Linked DNA regions of Ovis aries. The protein of the gene in region 1 interacts with the protein of each later gene in a pairwise test. Links are inferred from orthologs where the notes say so. Each region holds a gene or a part of one and is shown in the gene's direction. Other genes may lie near its edges.

The links.
Region 2: the proteins of RTN1 (region 1) and UGCG interact in a two-hybrid assay, tested with the Homo sapiens proteins (2 studies listed by BioGRID and IntAct). The link is inferred for Ovis aries from reciprocal best matches to the Homo sapiens genes RTN1 and UGCG.

Annotation. Positions count from the first base shown.
Region 1 is NC_056060.1:70,159,202-70,163,187, reverse strand, and holds the start of RTN1 (reticulon-1), read left to right. Parts: upstream 1-1,176; 5' UTR 1,177-1,378; coding exon 1,379-1,619; intron 1,620-3,986. UniProt on the Homo sapiens protein: Inhibits amyloid precursor protein processing, probably by blocking BACE1 activity.
Region 2 is NC_056055.1:11,620,680-11,624,196, reverse strand, and holds part of UGCG (ceramide glucosyltransferase), read left to right. Parts: intron 1-750; coding exon 751-929; intron 930-3,314; coding exon 3,315-3,401; intron 3,402-3,517. UniProt on the Homo sapiens protein: Participates in the initial step of the glucosylceramide-based glycosphingolipid/GSL synthetic pathway at the cytosolic surface of the Golgi.

The DNA of each region.
Region 1 (3,986 bases):
TTAATTAGTCACTGAATAGAACAAAGGGTTGGGCAGAATTCAGGCTTTTAACTTTCAGCCTTTTTGAGGAGTATCTGCATGGTGCTGAAGTTGGCCTTGGAATACATGAAAATTGACATATACGAAATCCTCAGCATGTCTATAGTGGCTTAGCAGTTCCACAAGCCTCAAGGAAGCTTGCCCCGGGCCCCACCTTTTCTAGAGAAGGAGCAGTGCATGGGCTTAGTCCTCCACCCTGTGTGTTATTATTTTTTCCAACCACATCATTTCATAGACAGTTTAGGAACCAATAAAGCACAAGTCTTGTTTGAAAAGATATATCTAAACATAGGAATAATAGATTATAAGCCAAGTCACTTCCTTTCTCTGAGTTTCTGTTTATCTGTCAGGTATCTTCCATCTTATCAGAGAGCTGTAAAGGAAAATGGGGGCGAGGGAAGCAGCAAGCTTCCCGGAATGTCCAACTTCTCAAAGAAAGCAGGCTGCACAGACAGCTTATAATCTGTATGGCTTTGGCTCAAGGTTTCTGCAAGGAAACATAAGTTGTTTTTATCCTGCCCATTGCTGTCTTATTCGCCCTCAGTGCTGGTAGTACTGAAGTCTGGTAAGCTTTTTTTCGGAGGCTATCCTGATAGCTCTTTCCTGTACTCCACTATTTTTGGTTGTTTTGGAAATAGTTTAAGGATGCAACATTTAACCCCAGGGTTGCAGATTCTCTCGTCTCCCATCTGTCAACCCCCACTTCCACCCCTCCCCGCCAAGACCAGTCCCCATCCACAGATGATACTGGTCACCCTCAGAACTGTGGCCTTGATGGCTCCAGTTTCCGTTCTTTGACTCGGGTCCCAGGACACCAGTCCAGGTTTAACTTTATGAGTTGGGTGGCCAGCTTGCCTAATCAGTCACGTTTCAGCTAGGGGCTGCTTCTACCTGCTCATCCTCTGGTTCCTCCCCACCTGAGAGGAAGATTCAAGTGGATTTGGCACAGCTCCTAAATCGAGGCCTGCCATTAGCAGGCCGGGGGCTGACGTGTGCAAAGGAAGACTCGGACCGAGCAGGCCTTTTTCACCTGCGTAATAACAGGCTTGGGAGTAGCGAGGCGGCCGCGGCGGCGGCGCCAGGAGGAGGAGGAGGAGCGCGGGCAGAGGCCGCCGCGGGGCCGGGAGGAAGAGGGGGAGGAGAAGGAGGAGCTGAAGCGCCGAGAGCGATAGGCAGCAGCTCGGCCGGAGTTGCAGCGGCGGCGGCGGCGCTCACACCGCAGCCTCCCCAAGCCCCGAGTCCCGGCGGGGGCAGCAGCAGCGAGCGCCCGCCCGCCCACCCAGTCTCTGCACCTCGGCCCCGCCAAGCCGCTGTCGCCGCGCCCGGGGAACTGCCAGCCATGGCCGCGCCGCCGGATCCCCGAGACGAGCTGCTGCCGCTGGCCGGCCCCGGGTCCCAGTGGTTCGGGGACCGGGGGGAGGGGGAGGACGAAGCGGTGACGCCGAAAGGAGCCAAGCCCGAGACGCTGGCGGGGGAGCCGGGACCCGGGCTGGGCGCCGGGGTCGCCGAAGCTGCGCCGCGGGAACTGGGCTCGGGCCCCGCCCGGCCGCCGCCCGTTGCCATGGAAACTGCATCCACAGGTAAGGCGGGCGGCGCCGCTGCCCCGCAAATGGCGTCTGGGACTCTGGTCCCCTAGCCGGCCCCCTTCTCTTCAACTCACCTATGCACCTACTTTGCGTTCTCTATCTTCAGGACCAACCTTAATCCGTCCCCGCCCCCACTCCCTTCGCCACAGGCGCCTGTAAATATTAAATGACTGGTAGGAACAGAAATTTTATTTTAGTTTCCAAAGGCTCAGAAGAAAACAAAATACTATTGATCCTTTTATTTCGTTATGGTTATTTTTCTGGCTTTCGAAGTTGTCCTCAGAGACAAACCGCAGCATCCTAGCTGCTGGTGCGCCTGTGTACAAGTTTCTTCCTTGGGACTGGGGGCTGTAGGGCCCGCTTGGCCAGTTGGGACGATTTGGTCGGGGGGCGTGTTTGCTTGCAGGGCTCGCTCCCGCGACAGGGGAAGCTGACGACAAAGCGACCGGCAGGCCCGCTGCCCCTAGACCCGGCTTGATCTAGGGCAGAGATGTGACTTTAACTCTCCCTTTCCTTAACCTCCGAGAGTCGCCACACCCTACTTCCTCCCATTTCCCTTTCCCTCCTCTAGCTCACCGCACACTAAACTGAAACGCCGAGGTGTGTTTAATTCCGGAGGGACTGCGAAGCCAGAAGGTTGGGAGCTGTGCCGGTCCCCCGCCCAGAATCCTTCATTTTCAGCTCCCCAATGCTCCCACCTCGAAGGGAGCTTTGGAACTTGGAACCCTAATTTAGAGCGGCCGCTGGCTGCGGTGCTAGAGATTGTTGAGTCGCGGTGGGTGTAGCTAGGAGGCACAGTTTGCCAGCAGTCTGAACCAGCGAGGGCGTTACGAAATTGCCCTGGGTTTGTCCTCCCTCCACCTTCACCTTCTGAACTGGATCCCAGCGGAGACCTGAGATCTTGAAGCATCCTGCCCAAAGGATGCCTGAAACGAGCTTTGGGGTGGGACTGCCGACTCAGGGAACTCCGTGTTTCCAAGGAGCGGGGAGGGGAGGGTGCTGTGTTGTGTAGTTCTCCGAGAAAGCTTTGCCGGGTGGAATGAGAGTTGTGTAGATTTGGAGATGTAGCTTTTGAAGGCCGGGTGCTAGGTGATCCTGGGGGAACGGAATGGGGGCGGGACTGGCATTCTTGTTCTTGGCAGCTGATTTAGGGGAACCCTTTTCTTAAGCCACTGCCTCTCTTAAGGGTCACATGGAGTGCTTTAGGTAGTCTTGATTATGCCCTAGTATAAAAGATTTGAGCTGAGGAAAGGAGATTGAGGGAATGTTTTGAATAAAACATTCTGAAGGGAAAAGAAAAAGACCATATACAAACAAAAAAGAAAAAAGACAGACTCAAAAGCAGAAAACCCCGTTTGTCCAGTATTAGTTATTATATGGGGGAAGGGAGGATTTCCGACTAAGATCTCAACTTAATCTAAATGAAAAAGAAGATGGCAAACCTAATAGAAAAAGGAAGGTACTTTTTTGGTTGATTTACCATCAGCATTCTTCGTTGAGAGTAGCTCCTAGTACAGAACCTTTATCCACCATCATCAAAATAAATCATTTATAAACATTGCCCACCTCTCATTGGTGTGATCAGGGTCAGGTGAACTAAGGAGGGGAAGCTTAGCTTCCTCTCAATAACATACTATCCACTAAAATAGTTGATCTATATAAAATGCTTTTAACAATTGTGACAAAGTAGGCATTTGCAATATTTAACATTATTACTATTATTATAGAAATAGTTTGTTAAATATATTAGGGATTTCCTATCCTAGGCAACAAATATATTAGTAAAATTAAACATAATGCTGAGTTTGGATGGGAAAAGAATGAAGGAAGGGGGACAAAGCATAAGTTTGCAATTTATACAGAAAATTTAAAGTTTATTTATTGCTGCTTGAAGGAATTTGTCATATATTTATTGATTATTTAGTGTTTTCAGTTTGCATTCAGTATTCAGTATGGGCTGTTATAAGAGGCCTAGATGCCAGAAATGATATCTAAATAAATTACTAGATCTTGAAAAAAAATTAAATAAAATCTGGGCCAGCTTCCTTATCTGTTATTTTAACAGTTCTATTGCAATTAAGTAAAGTTAGCAGGTGTATCCTCAACTTAATCAGGGACAAAATCCAGAGGAAGCCTATTAAGCTCATAATTTTGCTTTTTTAAAAGAATGATGCTCTTTGGGACTCAAACTAAGAAGTAACTTAGAGGTTGAGTGTGATACACTGTAAACAAATTATGTTTCTTTTTCAAATGGAATTCTAAAATGTAAGGCAGATATTGATGTTTTAAAACTTTTTTTTCCCCTGAAAAACACCACTAATCATGCCATCTGGACAGAAATTCTGTGATTCATTTTTATAC
Region 2 (3,517 bases), on another chromosome or scaffold:
AGTTGGGTAAGTTTGGATGACCATTTTATTCTCCCATTAGTTTAGCAGTTTGCACTTTTGATGACTCCAAAGCACGTTATGAAAGGGGCAGTAAAATGGGAGACTATTAGTGTTCACCCTGTTTATGAAAAACACACTGAAAAATGGGGAATTTGAGCTTTGTGACTTGGGCAGGAAACAGCTAACTGCAAAAATATACAGGAAAAGAAATTAAGAAATAGGATTGTTCTTTTGGTTGATGTACCTGTGAGTGTTGTGTGTGTATAGCCACGTGCATACATGTACACATACACATATGTACATATACCTGTGTGTGTAGATGTGTGTATATTTATGTGAAGAGTATGAAAAGAGGATACATTAAACATGAATATCGTATATCAGTAAGTGATATTTTCACCTCTGTTATTTAAATCCAAATTGTTTTACTTCAATAAATCTTTAAATCTTGGAGTTTTAGGAAAGACAGTATTTATTTGAGAATAAAGTATACTTTTCCCTCCACGAAGTACATACTACTTCTTTGTAAAAGTGATAATAACAAGAGTAGTCAATCAAATTAGAAATTACTGACTGCTTGCTATATGTAAACATTATTCTGTACCACTGTTTATTCAGGTAGTGTATGTAAGAATAATAGACTGTTCACCCTATCATTCTTAAGTTCATTAGGAAAAGGAATTTATAAACATCATACTTCTAACGTAAACTTCTAATTGTACACGTATGTTTCCGGTTTTGTCTTGGCAGGTGTATTTTGGAACCTCTCATCCAAGGTCCTATATCTCTGCCAATGTCACTGGTTTCAAATGTGTGACAGGAATGTCTTGTTTAATGAGAAAGGATGTGTTAGATCAAGCAGGAGGGCTTATAGCTTTTGCTCAGTATATTGCTGAAGATTACTTTATGGCCAAAGCAATAGCTGACCGGTAAGAAAACTAAATTAAATTAGGTTGTTGTATTTTTTATTTCCGAACTTATGTTGGCTTTTTCTGTTTGTTAAACCTGTGGATTAAGCGCTATTTTATTTTTTGCTAGTAAGTACAGAATAGTTTAATACTTTTAGAATGTAATTCCTACTAATTATTCAGGTACACACTAATGAAGCAAATAAATGTTCTAATTTCTCTACATTCTTCAAATTAATTTGGTTTCAAAAACAATATGGAATTTACTTAAAAAACTAAAAGTAGAGTTATTATATGATCCTGCAGTCTCACTCCTGGGCATATTTCTGAAGAAAAGTCTTAATCTGAAGATACATTTATCCCAGTGTTCATAGCAGCACTATTTGCAATAGTCAAGACATGGAAGCAACTCACATGCCTATCGACAGATGAATGGATGAAGATGTGATCTGAATGTATAATGGAATGTTACTCAGTCATAAAAAAAAATGAAATACTGTCTTTTGCAGCAACATGGACGGACCTAAAGGTTATCATATTGAGTGAAGTAAGTCAGACAGAGAAAGACAAATATCAAACTCACAGATGTAGAAAACAAACTTAATGTTTACCAAAGGGGATAGTGGAGGTCAGGAGAAGGAGATAAATTAGGAGTTTGGGGTTAACATATATACACTACTGTATGTAAAATAGGGGACTTCCCTGGTGGCTCAGTGGTAAAGAATCTGCCTGCAATGCAGGTATGATCCCTGGTAGGAAAGATCCACTAGAGAAGGAAATGGCAACCCCTTCCAATATTCTTGCCTGGGAAATCCCATGGACAGAGAAAGCTGGTGGACTACAGTCCATGGAACCACAAGAATCGAACAAGACCTGGTTCAACCTAAACCACCACCATCATTTATAAAACAAGTAGACAAGGGCCTACTGTTTAGCACACACATATATAGTAAGATATTATGGGAAAACCCCAAATGAACTTTTTGGCCAACCCAGTAAATACTGAATCACTTTGCTGTGCACTTGAAAACTATAATTGTAAATTAACTGTACTTCAATTTAAAAAATAAAATAAATACATTTAAACTCTTAAAAAATGTATGTGATTTGAAGTAGTTAAATTGAAGCTTCTCTGTGACTGTAAATTTTCATTATTATGAATGTAAATGTTTATGTGTTTTACAAGAATTAAAAGTATCAGTGCAGTCATAAAGCCAGTAGGTGAAAATTTAAAGAATGAGATTTCAAATTTTGAAATTTTTCAGTAGATTATTTGATACTTTGCTAAGAAGCTACCTAATGATTCATGATTGCCTTAATCACACTTTTCTATCACAAAATGACACTCATTTGCTTTTTTAAAGGGGGTTGTTTCCTTGTGTGATAATTTACTGAAGGTGTGATCTTAAAAGTTGAAGTATGTTTTCAGACTTATCTTCTGGTGGTGTTAGTGGTCCGTGGTTTCATATTGTTTCTCGTGAGATATGGAATGCCACTTTTGGTTTATATTTCTTCTTGAATATTCACATACATATCCCCCACTACTCCTTTTTTTGGTTAATAGTGTTCAGAGACTGTTAAATACAGGCCCCACTCCATTTAGTACTTTCAGAATGTCTGTATTTTAAGTTTATTGAGCTGTGAACTGAGGGGTTGTAGTTCCTTCCGGTTTTTAAGTGGTACTGTCATGGGCTTCTGTAATGACTGAAATGTGTTTAAGTATGATACACCCTATGTAGGGTGCTATCCTGGGACGAGGCTCACCCTAAACACTGGCAGTTGCTCACTTTAAAAGAAAAAAAAAAAGAATAGCTGATTTACAGTATTATAAAGTTTTAGGTGTACAACATAGTGATTCGGTATTTTTATACATTATACTCCATTTAAAGTTATAGCAAAATTATGACTGTATTTCCCTGTTCTATTCAATATACCCTTGTTGCCTATTTATTTTATACATAGTAGTCTGTATATCTTCATCCTTTTCCACTATCTTGTCCCTCCCTCCTTCCCTCTCCCCACTGGTAACCAGTAGTTCTCTAACTCTGTGAGTCTCTTTTTTGTTTAGTCATTCATTTATTTTTTAAATTCCACATCTAAGTGATAACAGAATATTTATCTTTCTATGTCTCACTTATTTCACTGAACATAATACCCTCTGTGTCCATCCACACTGTTGTAAATGACAGGATTTCATTCTTTTTCGTGGCTAAGCAATATTCCATTGTATGTATGGACAACATCTTCTTTATCCATTCATCTGTTGATTGACAGGTTGCTTCCATATCTTGGCTACTGTAAATAACGCTGCTTACCCTTTATAGTAGTGAATAAGTACATAACCTGTCATCCTTGCATGTATGTGTTCCTGATCATAGCTCATTTTATAACTGTCTTAATTTTCAGAGGTTGGAGGTTTGCCATGTCCACTCAAGTTGCAATGCAAAACTCTGGCTCATATTCAATTTCTCAATTTCAGTCCAGAATGATCAGGTAAGTCAGCTGGCTTTCTTCTTTTTATACTTTATTAAAAGAAAAAGGGAATGAGGAGTATTTTTACATGGTCTTAACTTGGTTTAAAAAAAAAAAAAAAGAAAAGTCAGATTTTG